Linked DNA regions of Xenopus tropicalis. The protein of the gene in region 3 interacts with the protein of the main gene of each other region in a biochemical or structural test. Links are inferred from orthologs where the notes say so. Each region holds a gene or a part of one and is shown on either strand. Other genes may lie near its edges.

Region 1 (4,282 bases), on a different chromosome or scaffold from region 3:
GTGTCTGTCCCTTTCCCTTCCCTGCACTGCTGGTTCTGACTCCTGATACAACTCCCCAATACCCATTCATCCCTCATTCTCACTGGGTTTATAGTTATGTGTAACTGTCACTGTGTCTGTCCCTTTCCCTTCCCTGCACTGCTGGTTCTGACTCCTGATACAACTCCCCAATATCCATTCATTCCTCATTCTCACTGGGTTTATAGTTATGTGTAACTGTCACTGTGTCTGTCCCTTTCCCTTCCCTGCACTGCTGGTTCTGACTCCTGATACAACTCCCCAATATCCATTCATTCCTCATTCTCACTGGGTTTATAGTTATGTGTAACTGTCACTGTGTCTGTCCCTTTCCCTTCCCTGCACTGCTGGTTCTGACTCCTGATACAACTCCCCAATACCCATTCATTCCTCATTCTCACTGGGTTTATAGTTATGTGTAACTGTCATTGCTATTGACTGTCAGTTTACTTTCTACTGAAACAATGTAGCAGAAGCAACTGACTGACAGACCAGGAGGGGGAACTGACTTCTGCTACATTGTTTCTCAAAGCCAGAACCAATCAAACATGAAGCTCCTGTGGCCCCTGCCTCCATTGCTTTATCGGGGCCCCTGGGGGGTGCAAGTAATAATATAAACATGACCCCGCCGGGCACCTGTAGGTGAGCTCTGTATGGGATCCCCCGCACCATTATCAGTAGGAATTACTGCACAACAAGTTGCCCGTGAACCTTGCCCCCTGGAGCTGCACTAGCCCCGCCCCCCTGTTCCTGCCCTGTGCCCCGCCGAGCCTTGGGTTGGCACAGGGTCCTGTTTAACCAGTCCAGTGCCCAGTCTGGTACCTGTACCCTCCAATGTCCCAATAAAGCACCAACAGGAGACACGGAGGGCTCCACCCCTGGCACCTACTGTGTCCATCAGTGCTGGGGCACCGGTGACCCCCCACCCCAATTAGGCAGTGTAATTATAGCCCAAAGGTACCCGGCCCAAAGCTAATTAATTGTACGTCATTCTGGTGCCCAGCAAAACACTTGAGGGACAAGAGCTTCTCAAGGAGAAGAGAAAATCTGGTGGGAAACTGTAGGGCGAGGAGGGGGCACCGACTGGCACCCCGTGGGAACCAGGTGCGCCAACAGGGGGGGTATTACAGTCAGTCGGGCAATGTTTGCCCCCAGTTCATTCCCAATAGCAGCCTGGTAACCGCACACTGGTTGCTGCGGGTAACTGAAGTGACTTGGTGCCAACGGCGGGCATTAATACTTTATTTACGGGAGACACGGATCCTTCCCGTCAAAGGAATTTAGCTTTTATTTATTTCATTCTCCGCTGCGCTGGGCAGGGGTCCTGGGGTATTAGGTCACTTGTGCCCTTGGCATTGCCCGTCACTAAATAAACAGACAGTACCGGTGTGAATACCCATGCGTTGTGGTGCCACCAGTGTGGCTTATCCCATAGGCAATAACAGTATGTATTTACATTGTGCCATCAATCACAATCAGGGGCATTTTCCTGCCAACGGGCAAGCGCCACCACCATTGAAACCGCCACCAGTGGCACCTTTTGGGCAATCTCTCTGCCAGACCCCCTTTAAAACCATAAGCATATACTGTATGCAGTATCCAATCAGCATGGCTACTTGGTTATGACTGTAAGATTCAGCATGGCGCAACGGAAATCGGTACAGTCGGCATGAATTTAATTAAATACTTCAATCGATGTCTCGGAAACACAGAAGGACCCAGAGTTGGCACTAAACGGGCACTGACGGGGGGGGAGATTATGGCTCCGTGCCCTTGGCTGCATCAGTAGGGTTAAGGGTTCAGCTTCCACCAATGAACTCACGGGTCACGGCACAGAAGGCATTATGGGTCCTTGTCCCAAATGCTTGCGATCAAATAAATCAGTGCGTCTCAGCTCGGGGCAGGGAAGTGGGTCTAAAAGCAGAGGGCCATGTCTACTAAGGTGTGCAGCTACCCCCCCCCCCCCCCCCCCCTGGCAGTAAGAGTGGCACAGCCTTTGATTAACCGGCCACAGGAGGATGCTGGGAACGGTAGTTTTACCATTTGCATAAGAATAGTTTAACCTCTCTGATGCCACCTTGGCAGATAAGGGGTTAAGAGCCATTCGCTGGCACTTGATACAATAGGAAGTTGCCCTTAGGGACAGTTACGGTATAATACCCCCCCCTTATATAACACCGATACATCCCGGGATCATAAACACCGAGGGCAGCAATTTCCCCTCTGCCCCCTCCTACTTTATGTAGTAGTAGTGACAGGGCAGGACCCCCCCCCCTGAACTTTTCTACCTGCTATAAACTACAACTCCCAGCATGCCCCAGCAGCCCAGGAGTCATAAGAGCAAGGAGCCTGGCATTGCTGCCCAATAACTTGTACCCATGTGTTTGTGCCCACTACCTGCTTGGCACTGCTGGGGGGGCTACCAGCCAAAGGGGGGGGTATGGAACTCTACAAGTGCATTGTGGGGGTTAAATGGCTGGAACAACAACACAAGGGGAGGCAGTGGGATGAGCAGGAGAGAGACAGATGCGGCAGTAGGTGCCCCCCACCCACAGCCCAGCACCCTGGCACCCAGTACTCACCCAGCGGCAGGAAATGCTTGGTGTCCATGGCTGGCTAACTCATGCCAAGCGCCTGGGGATGGGAAGAGGAGGCTGGGGGGCCCCGCAGTGATATCCTGTGCAGGAGAGCGATGGGCCGGCTGGGAGCAGGGGATCCGGGGGCCCCGGGGAGAGTCGGATCCAGCGGGGTCGGGGGCCCGGGCGGAGGAGTTTGCTGCAAACTCACCAACAATGTAAGGAAAGTAGTTGTCCTGCCTCCCCGCTCCAACTCCTCAGGCTGCAATGCAACGGGGCCCCGCCGAGGGGAGCAGCGACGGCCGAGCCCTCCGCCAGTGACACAGCGCAGAGGGGGGAGCCGGGATACGGGGACTGGGGAGAGAGGCGGAGCGGGGGCCCCCTAGGGGCGCTCAGGGGAAATGCGGCTCTACCCACAGAATCGCACCGAACTCTTTCCCACTCGCTAATTGCCCAGCAGCCTGGCACTTACCCTGGCACTTACCCTGGCACTCACACTGACTGGCACTTACCCTGGCACTCACACTGACTGGCACTCACACTGGCACTGACTGACACTCACACTGGCACTGACTGACACTCACACTGACTGGCACTCACACTGGCACTTACCCTGGCACTTACCCTGGCACTCACACTGACTGGCACTTACCCTGGCACTCACACTGACACTCATACTGGCACTCACATTGACACTCACACTGACTGGCACCCACACTGACACTCACACTGATTGGCACCCACACTGGCACTCACACTGACTGGCACTTACCCTGGCACTCACACTGACTGGCACTCACACTGGCACTTACCCTGGCACTTACCCTGGCACTCACACTGACTGGCACTTACCCTGGCACTCACACTGACACTCATACTGGCACTCACATTGACACTCACACTGACTGGCACCCACACTGACACTCACACTGACTGGCACTCACACTGACTGGCACTTACCCTGGCACTCACACTGACTGGCACTTACCCTGGCACTCACACTGACACTCATACTGGCACTCACATTGACACTCACACTGACTGGCACCCACACTGACACTCACACTGACTGGCACCCACACTGACACTCACACTGACTGGCACTCACACTGACTGGCACTTACCCTGGCACTCACACTGACTGGCACTTACCCTGGCACTCACACTGACTGGCACTCACACTGACTGGCACTTACCCTGGCACTCACACTGACTGGCACTCACACTGGCACTCACACTGACTGGCACTTACCCTGGCACTCACACTGACTGGCACTCACACTGGCACTTACCCTGGCACTCACACTGACTGGCACTTACACTGGCACTCACACTGACTGGCACTTACCCTGGCACTCACACTGACTGGCACTCACACTGGCACTTACCCTGGCACTCACACTGACTGGCACTTACACTGGCACTCACACTGGCACTTACCCTGGCACTCACACTGACTGGCACTCACACTGACTGGCACTCACACTGACTGGCACTCACACTGGCACTTACCGTGGCACTCACACTGACTGGCACTTACACTGGCACTCACACTGGCACTTACCCTGGCACTCACACTGACTGGCACTCACACTGGCACAGCCTGGCACTCATACTGACTGGCACTTACACTGGCACTCACACTGACTGGCACTTACCCTGGCACAGCCTGGCACTCATACTGACTG
Region 2 (4,252 bases), on a different chromosome or scaffold from region 3:
AATCCCACAGCTACCTACAATTCACTAGGCCTTTAAGATAGTGATACAGGTCTTGTGCTTACACATATACCACTCAGGACTTTTATGGACCCCAAGCTTTACCCTCCTAGGGCCCTTCTGGGCTACAGGCTAGTCAGGGCTTACCTGGCCTGTAAACACTAGGCTCTCAGCATCTTTTTCCATTCCCATAAAGTTAACTCTGATTCACACAAACTTTCTATTTATTATCACCAATCATTTAGCTGCTTCACACACACACACACGTAAAGGCCTTTGCGGCTGTCACTGTCACACAAAGTATGTCTCAGCGCGTCACGGTGCCCACACCGGGTGCTCTTTTAGTCAGTGAAGAACTTGTGCTTCCTTAGGCCTGTCAGTTCCTCACATAAACACACATGGCAGCCAGTGCCTTATACACACCCACAGATAAGGCTTATTTCCGCTTCAGTTTTTGGGACGGCCATGGGACCTTGCAGCAGTCTCTCCAAGCCACACACCCCCACTCTCTAAACACAACGCACAAATCACGACAGCTGCCTGCATGACAGAGCGCCAGCACCACTTCAAAGGCCACCTGCAGGACGGACTAACCCATGGGTTCAGAAAGACAGCTACGCACTAAAAATGACCTACACACAGAGCCAGCAACAAAGAGAGAGCCATTTCACAAACGTAAACCTATGGCTACAGGCACTGCACCAAGGTGCCCGAAGAACCCACAGTTACAAATAACTAACATTTACCACACAAAATAGCCTTTTGCACCATACTAGAAAATTCCACAGGGTATAAGAATGTCTACGCAATAGCCGGGGGCATGTAGAACACAATGACTGTAGCTGAGAGTAAATACTGAGCATTATAGGCTATGCAAGATCTGATTGATAAAGGTGTATGGGGGGGGGGGGGTAGATTACACAGCACTTTGTTGCACCCGTCACACAACTGTGTGTGAGAGAAATTGTATTACAAAGAAATACAGTGCTAAATAAAGGGCACAATGGCGCTGACCGATATCAGACCGCTACACAACATGTGCAGGGACAGAGAGGTTAGTCAGGGGATAGTACAGGAGACCACACAAAGCGGCCCACACATCCACCAAACTCCACACTGTGCACAAGTGCAGGGCCTACGTGTGGCGCCTGGGCCTGGATCCCAGGAAACCTGTCATTGCTCCTAGGAGCACTTTTTTTTTCCGCCTGCAAAAAAAAAACCAACCCCTTCAGAAATATATTTTCACGTGATTGAAAGAAGTGAATGTTCTCCTGTAGGAGCAACAATGAAGGGTGGGGGTTAAACAGAACACATTCAGGCATCTCAGCGCTTCAGGGCATGAGATGGAAAAAAGGGGAGGCGTGGTGCAGAATTTAGGCAACAGGGAAGACATGGCGGGTTTCATGTGTACAATAAAGCCTTCACACTGCCCCTGCCAATAATCGGGCATGACTTTTTAACGCTTAAATGACTGTACTGATCTTTTCTCAGTGCGCACATGTGTATCGTACATACATGCAATGTGTGTCGCTTTGTGCACAATAAAGGGTCAGTAGGGCAGAAAGCGCCAATGCATGTAGCTAAGGGAAAATCCTCTGGGTTTAGGTGAAACTGGAATATAATATGATTATCTGGCTGCATGTATACGGGTAATTCAGTTTGTTTCCATGCCGAACGCTGCCAGAGAGTTCCATGTGCCTGTAGGGGTTTTATAGACTGGAAGAATCCGTATTGCAGGTCAGAAGAGTGAGAGCTCGGGCATGGAGCTTAACCATTTCCTAGCCAGCCTGCCTTAGACAACCTTGCCGGGCAGATCTCAGTCGCCCTATGTACACAGGCCGCATGTGCTTACTGGAGGCAAAGAAGCTTATAGGATCTTATAATGACAAGCACCCTCTGGAGTGTAACATATCAGGAGGAAGGGGGGTGGCAGGCACCTCTAAATTAACCTTAACTATCCCCCAGGGGGGGTCATCTCAACACTTCCCTAACTTTTATGCAACACTTATACTGTACACTTATAAAGAGTTGGTCATGGAATCAAGGGCTACAGGGGCCCCTAAAAAAGACACGTTTAATGCTTTACACAGAGCTACTACAGACAATGGTGATCATTTACTGATAATTGTCTCTACGTGTGTTTTAGCAGAGTCAATTCTCAGTATTGTCTATGGCAGGGGAGTTTAGCAGCCATGGCAAGTAGCTGCTACTAAGTAGCTCTGTGTGTCTTCACCCTAAGGCATACTTCTTATACTTATCTGGGGACCCCCCACTGGGAAAAGTGGGTTTGAGATGGCAGCCCCTGCATAGAAAGCTGCTGATCATGAGTGTGCAAGAGAGAACCAACACCCCCTCAAACCCACACACCTTGCAGGCAGCCCAATGCTGTCTCTTGTACACAAGAATGCACTGTGGGCCTCTACAGCAGGAGAGAAGTGTTTACATAGGAGATCGCATGCGATCAGGGCACAGAGTTCTCCAATATCGCAGTGTAGTTGCACCGCCCCCGCCCCAGTACAGTTCTGCACTAGAGATAACTCACCTCTTTGCACTGAAGACCCGGCCCAGGGGCTTTAAACCCCCCCCTTCCTCCTCTGATCTTCTTGCTGCTCCTGCTGCTCCTACTGCTGCTGCTGCTGCTGCCCGGAAAGGGGAACAGAGAACTTACAAAGAAAAAAAAAAGTGGGGGGGCGAAGACAGTGGGAAATGTGGCTAGTGAAAAAAAAAAACAGGTGGGGGGGCAGGCTCGTCCTTTTCAGCTTCCCCCCCAAAATCCCAAGGCTTTTACCCCCCCTCCAAGGTACAAAAAAATCATCAGTGGAAGGAGCAATGAAGTGTTGGCTTTGTATAGATCCCGCCTGTGTGTTACTGTACGTTTCCTGGCTGTTTGTCTCTCTTTCTTCTCTTCCCTCCGTGTGTCAGGGATACAGACAGAGAGGAAAGGGGAAAAAATCTAGTTCTACCCAGCTCCTCCCTCTGTGTCTGTGTATCATATCCTTCCAGTGCGGCAAGGCTGCCGCCGTACACCACCTGCAGGCTGCATTGGGAACTGACGGCCTTTCGCTTCTCCTGGGGGACAAGATTCTCAAGGAGTTGGAAGGAAGAACTGGGACCCCTGCTGACATAACTGTCTCTGTATACTGTCCTTTATTACACACCTCACAAATTCCAAATGGCAAAAATAAGTATACATATCCTATTTAGAACACACAGCCTGTCTGGCAGGATGCAACTCCTGGTAGAGGACTAAAGATCCCCATACACGTTAAGATCCGCTCACTTGGGGAGGTCGCCAAGCGAGCGGATCTTCTCCCGATATCCCCACCTACAGGTGGGCGATATCAGGTAAATTTAGGCTAAGTCGGTTGTTTGGCCCTTGGGCCAAACAATTGAATTACAACGTCGGTAACAGGGTCGGACTGGGGGGTGCAGGGCCCACCGGGGCTCCCGCCCCAGGGACCCTGCAGGTGCCCCAGCCGCGTCCCCTAACCCCCCCCCAGGGGCCCCCCTAACCCCCCCACAGGGCCCCCGCCTGACGTCCTCCCCGAGCACGTATAAATTGAACGTGTTGGGGAGGAACAGTCAGTAGCAGGGAGCGCTGGCAAAGGTCGGACTGGGCCGCTGTGGCCCACTAGGGTCGGGGCCCACCGGGATTTTGCCCCAGTCCGACCCTGGTCGGTAATAGGCACAGTCGGTTCGCATCAACGAGCTGATGCAGTCCCTGATCCGACTAAATTTTTCAATCTGCCCGATCGATATCTGCCCGATTTTAGGCCAGATGTCGGTTGGGCAGGCCCGTCGTTTGTGCCCCTACATGGGCCGATAAGCTGCCGAATCATCTAAGGGACTGATATGTATGGCCACCTTTACATGGATCTCTTTCTCTCAGCTGGGCCCTCGCTGTAATGTGGGATGAAGGGTTAATCACATTGAGTCATATTCTGAACTTTTTTTGCACAAAACAATAACTGTGGTTGGATCTTACACAATCTCTCTGTTGGCACAGTCATCTACCACTTCATAGACCCAGAGGTCAGGGGAAGCAGAAGATGTTTTTGGCTGGACGGGCAGGAGAGGGAGGATTTGTGGCACCCATAGCTTTTTGTGGACACGCCCACTTTTTGTGGCCAAAGAGAGCCCCCCTGAAGCTCACTTATCCGGAAACCCGTTATCCAGAAAGTTCCGAATTACGGAAAGGCCATCTCCCATAGACTACATTATAAGCAAATAATTCTCATTTTTAAAATGGATTTCC
Region 3 (3,645 bases):
GAACTGCAGTTGACAAGCTCTCTGTTAGCCGCGCAAAGTCCGATGAGAATTTCAAGAATTCTGGAAATATATTTTCCAATTGTGAAAGTAATGCCCCAATTCGCAACAACAGCAGCCCTTGTCAGGGATCTGGAATGCTGCATCTCAAAAAGGCAAGGCTGTTGCAGTCTTCAGAGGACTGGAATGCTGCAAAGAGGAGACGACTGTCGGATTCTGTTCCTGGCGTAAATGGCAAAAATGAAACGTTCTTGGCCGGCATGGTTGCAAACGCACCCAAAGGCAAGCAGGATAGTACATTACTGGCGTCTCTGCTTCAGTCTTTCAGCTCTAGACTCCAGAGCGTCGCTCTGTCACAACAACTTAAACAGAGTCTCGAAGAACAAGGCTTTTCTCTTGGCCAGGAGACTGTACACGAGGAGAAGAATAACCAGTGTTTGGGCCTGGCATCCAACCACCTTAAAACTTTGTTAAACAAAAGCAGATCAAAAGAGAAAGTAACAGATAGTAAAATGACTGCTAAAGCCTCAATTCAAGAAAAATCTTCACACTCTGGGCAAAGCAGCACGAAAGCAGGAGCTGCTGAGCCGATTTCATGCGCTGCAAGACTTCAGGCTGTTGCAAGTATGGTAGAGAAGAGGTCGAGTCCTACTGTCTCGCCTAAACCAAGTGTTGCATGTAGCCAGTTGGCATTGCTGCTTTCTAGCGAGGCTCACTTGCAACAATACTCCAGAGAGCATGCTGTAAAAGCACAAAGTGCTAGTCAGTTAGCAAGCGAAAGGCTAGCAGCAATGGCAAGATTAAAAGAGACCTCAGAGAAGGACCATGGTCATTTTCCTATGTCGACAAATTTGCCCACACCACTCAACAGCCCTGCAAGAACAACTATTTCCAATGGTATAAGTAATATTGGTAACATTTCTCCCTTTTCAAGTCCATTAAGTGTCCCTCATTCTCCACTTAAATCAGTAGGATATAAGACTCATTCAGAAAAAAATCACCTGAAGCCCTCTCCAAATAACAGCTTGCTGCTACATCTTCTTAAAAGCCAGAACGCTACAAATATGAACAAATGCAACCTTCAAAGCGAAAAGATTCCCGTGTTTGAAGAAAGTGCAACACCAACAACCACAGATGACTTTTCTGACAACAACCCTAGTTTTACAGAAGATGAAACCAGCGATGATGAAAGTAGTCACTCTAACTGTGCACCCATTGACTTGTCATTCAAAAACCGAGTAGATAAGCCAGAGGTGTTAAATACGGCTTCCATAGACAACTTAACAGAATCCTTGCTTAAAAACTGGGATCCAAAAGTTGAAGGACTTGTCATCAACAAAGATAATAACAGAGACCCTTCATTGGACTCCACGTTAAAACCACATCAGAAGGTGACCCTGTTACAGTTACTACTTGGGCATAAGGCAGATGAAAATCCCGAAAAGATGGAAGATCTTCAGGGTTCACAGAAACGTTCTGATCTGACAAAGTTCAACTTGCCAATTCAACGACATGGATCTGAAAACACTCATGTACATAATTCTGCTTCATTAAATACATTACCTATAAACAATAGTTTGAAATCGGATTCCCCTGTTAACCTGAGCCAGCCTTTTCCACCAAAAAATACGTTCACATCTTACATAAGTAACATTCAGTCAGAAAGACATGTGAATGCGGCCTCAAAACATTTGATAGAGCTGACGAGGAACAAATCATTTCATAACCCCACCCCAGTAGTAAACGAGAGTGCACAATGTAATGCTGCTTTCAGTGCCAGTAAACTTCTACAGAATTTAGCTCAATGCGGGCTGCAAACAGCTGCACCCGATGAGCAAAAAGTGCAAAAAACAGTCAGTGCACCTAATGGTAAAACTCTAGGACTGATCGACAGGTTAAGTAGCCCCCTGATTACCAATCAATCTCATGCCTTTGAGGAGGACACATCTTTTAGTAGCCCACCTACTCCATCAGACTCCAGATTTCCTGGCTCAGAGATTGAAAACCTTTTAGAAAGACGTACTGTTTTACAGCTTCTTCTCGGAACACCAAATAAGGGGAAACTTGAAAAGAGTCCAAATATCACAATCAAAGATGAAAATCAACAAGACAGGGTAGAAAAAAATGCAAGTGAACACATAGTATCTTTTAAAATCAAAAGCGAGCCTGAGGACGCCTACAGCACACAGCATTTAAGAGACACTGGAATTCCTAGTCCACTGGCAATGTCTTTTCATGGTTTTTCCAGATCAACTCCAGAGGGCATGAAATCTCCAAACCTCACTCCACAGGATTTTTCCGTTTCCAGAAATGGGCTACTAAGCCGCTTGCTTACACAGAACCACAATGGGTATGAAATTAGTGACCCAGATTTTACCAACAGAAATGGTGAATCCAGACAAACAGAAACAAAAATCCACTGCACTGTTCCAAAAAAGAGAAAAATGCACCAACATGAGCCTTTAGAAAGTCAAGTAAAACTAGCAAAACTCAGTCCTTCTGAAAGTGGGCACTATTATTCTCCACCGCCATTGAGTGGGCCAATGTTTCTTCAGGATGAAACATATAGTAACAAAAGTGGCATGGACCCTCGGTGCAATTTAACTCAGAACTCCTTAAACGAAGGAAAACATTTGGGTTGGTCAAGGGAAAGCAAAGGTTTTAATGTGCTGAAACAATTGTTACTTTCAGAGAATTGTGTCAGAGATTTGTCTCAGCATAGGAATAACATATTGGTGGATGATATGGTAAAGGGGAACAGAAGTCACCTTGCTGGCAGTTCTGATTTTGTAACACCTCCATTAAATGTGCATATGGGGAAAATGTCCAACCAAACAAACAGTTTAGGTCAAATGACATTTCAGTGTCCATCCACTTTAAAGAATTCTCCTCACCCACCTTCAGACAGTTTGATACATAAAACATCTCGGACTGAATCTGGACAAATCAATATGTGCCCTGTTCCTAATGACAAAGGCCCAATTAAATGGGTTATCACAGGTATGGAAAAGAATGATGTTGGAAAGGATTCCCCAAGGTTGACCAAAACCAACCCAATATTGTACTACATGCTGCAGAAAGGAGCACATTCTGCTGGAGGCCAGGAGCTGCGAGATCGAGGCAGTTGGACTGCGTCCTTACTAGGCAATGCCACAGAAATGACATTAAAAAGAGAGATGGTCAATTGTAGAGGAACCACCCCAAACGGCAGTGGTATGATGAAAACAACCACTCCTGTTGTAAATAAGACATTGCATAATTCCAGTGGTAACAAGTATGGACTTCTTGATATACTGGCAATTAAGAAAGAGCCTGAATAATACAACAGATTTGAATAGCCAGGTTGTTAATAAACCCAAAAAGAATGCATCATTTTTAGAGTATCAGGCATGAAGACAAGAGATATAAAGCATGATCTTCTTGACATGTTTTTCATCTCATATATTTTGGTTGGTTATATTGCTTGTGGCTATAGCTTATTTGAAAAATGTACAGATTTTGCTATTATGGTTTCTACATTTTTTTTGGTTCTGTGATATTTTTTTTTTTTCCTTTAGGGTATTTTATTCCCACTGCTTGGGAAAAAAATGATGTTATAAATTATAAAAGACAAATGTGCTGTTGATGGCTGGTTTCCAATATTTGCCT

What was found.
Region 1: the proteins of nrip1 (region 3) and rxra form a complex in vitro, tested with the Homo sapiens proteins (2 studies listed by BioGRID). The link is inferred for Xenopus tropicalis from reciprocal best matches to the Homo sapiens genes NRIP1 and RXRA.
Region 2: the proteins of nrip1 (region 3) and thra form a complex in vitro, tested with the Homo sapiens proteins (4 studies listed by BioGRID). The link is inferred for Xenopus tropicalis from reciprocal best matches to the Homo sapiens genes NRIP1 and THRA.

What each region holds. Positions count from the first base shown.
Region 1 is NC_030684.2:8,063,457-8,067,738, forward strand, and holds the start of rxra (retinoic acid receptor RXR-alpha), read right to left. Parts: upstream 2,942-4,282; 5' UTR 2,629-2,941; coding exon 2,601-2,628; intron 1-2,600. UniProt on the Homo sapiens protein: Receptor for retinoic acid that acts as a transcription factor.
Region 2 is NC_030686.2:9,187,711-9,191,962, forward strand, and holds the start of thra (thyroid hormone receptor alpha), read right to left. Parts: upstream 2,942-4,252; 5' UTR 2,540-2,941; intron 1-2,539.
Region 3 is NC_030678.2:26,793,011-26,796,655, reverse strand, and holds part of nrip1 (nuclear receptor-interacting protein 1), read left to right. Parts: coding exon 1-3,317; 3' UTR 3,318-3,645. UniProt on the Homo sapiens protein: Modulates transcriptional activation by steroid receptors such as NR3C1, NR3C2 and ESR1. Also modulates transcriptional repression by nuclear hormone receptors.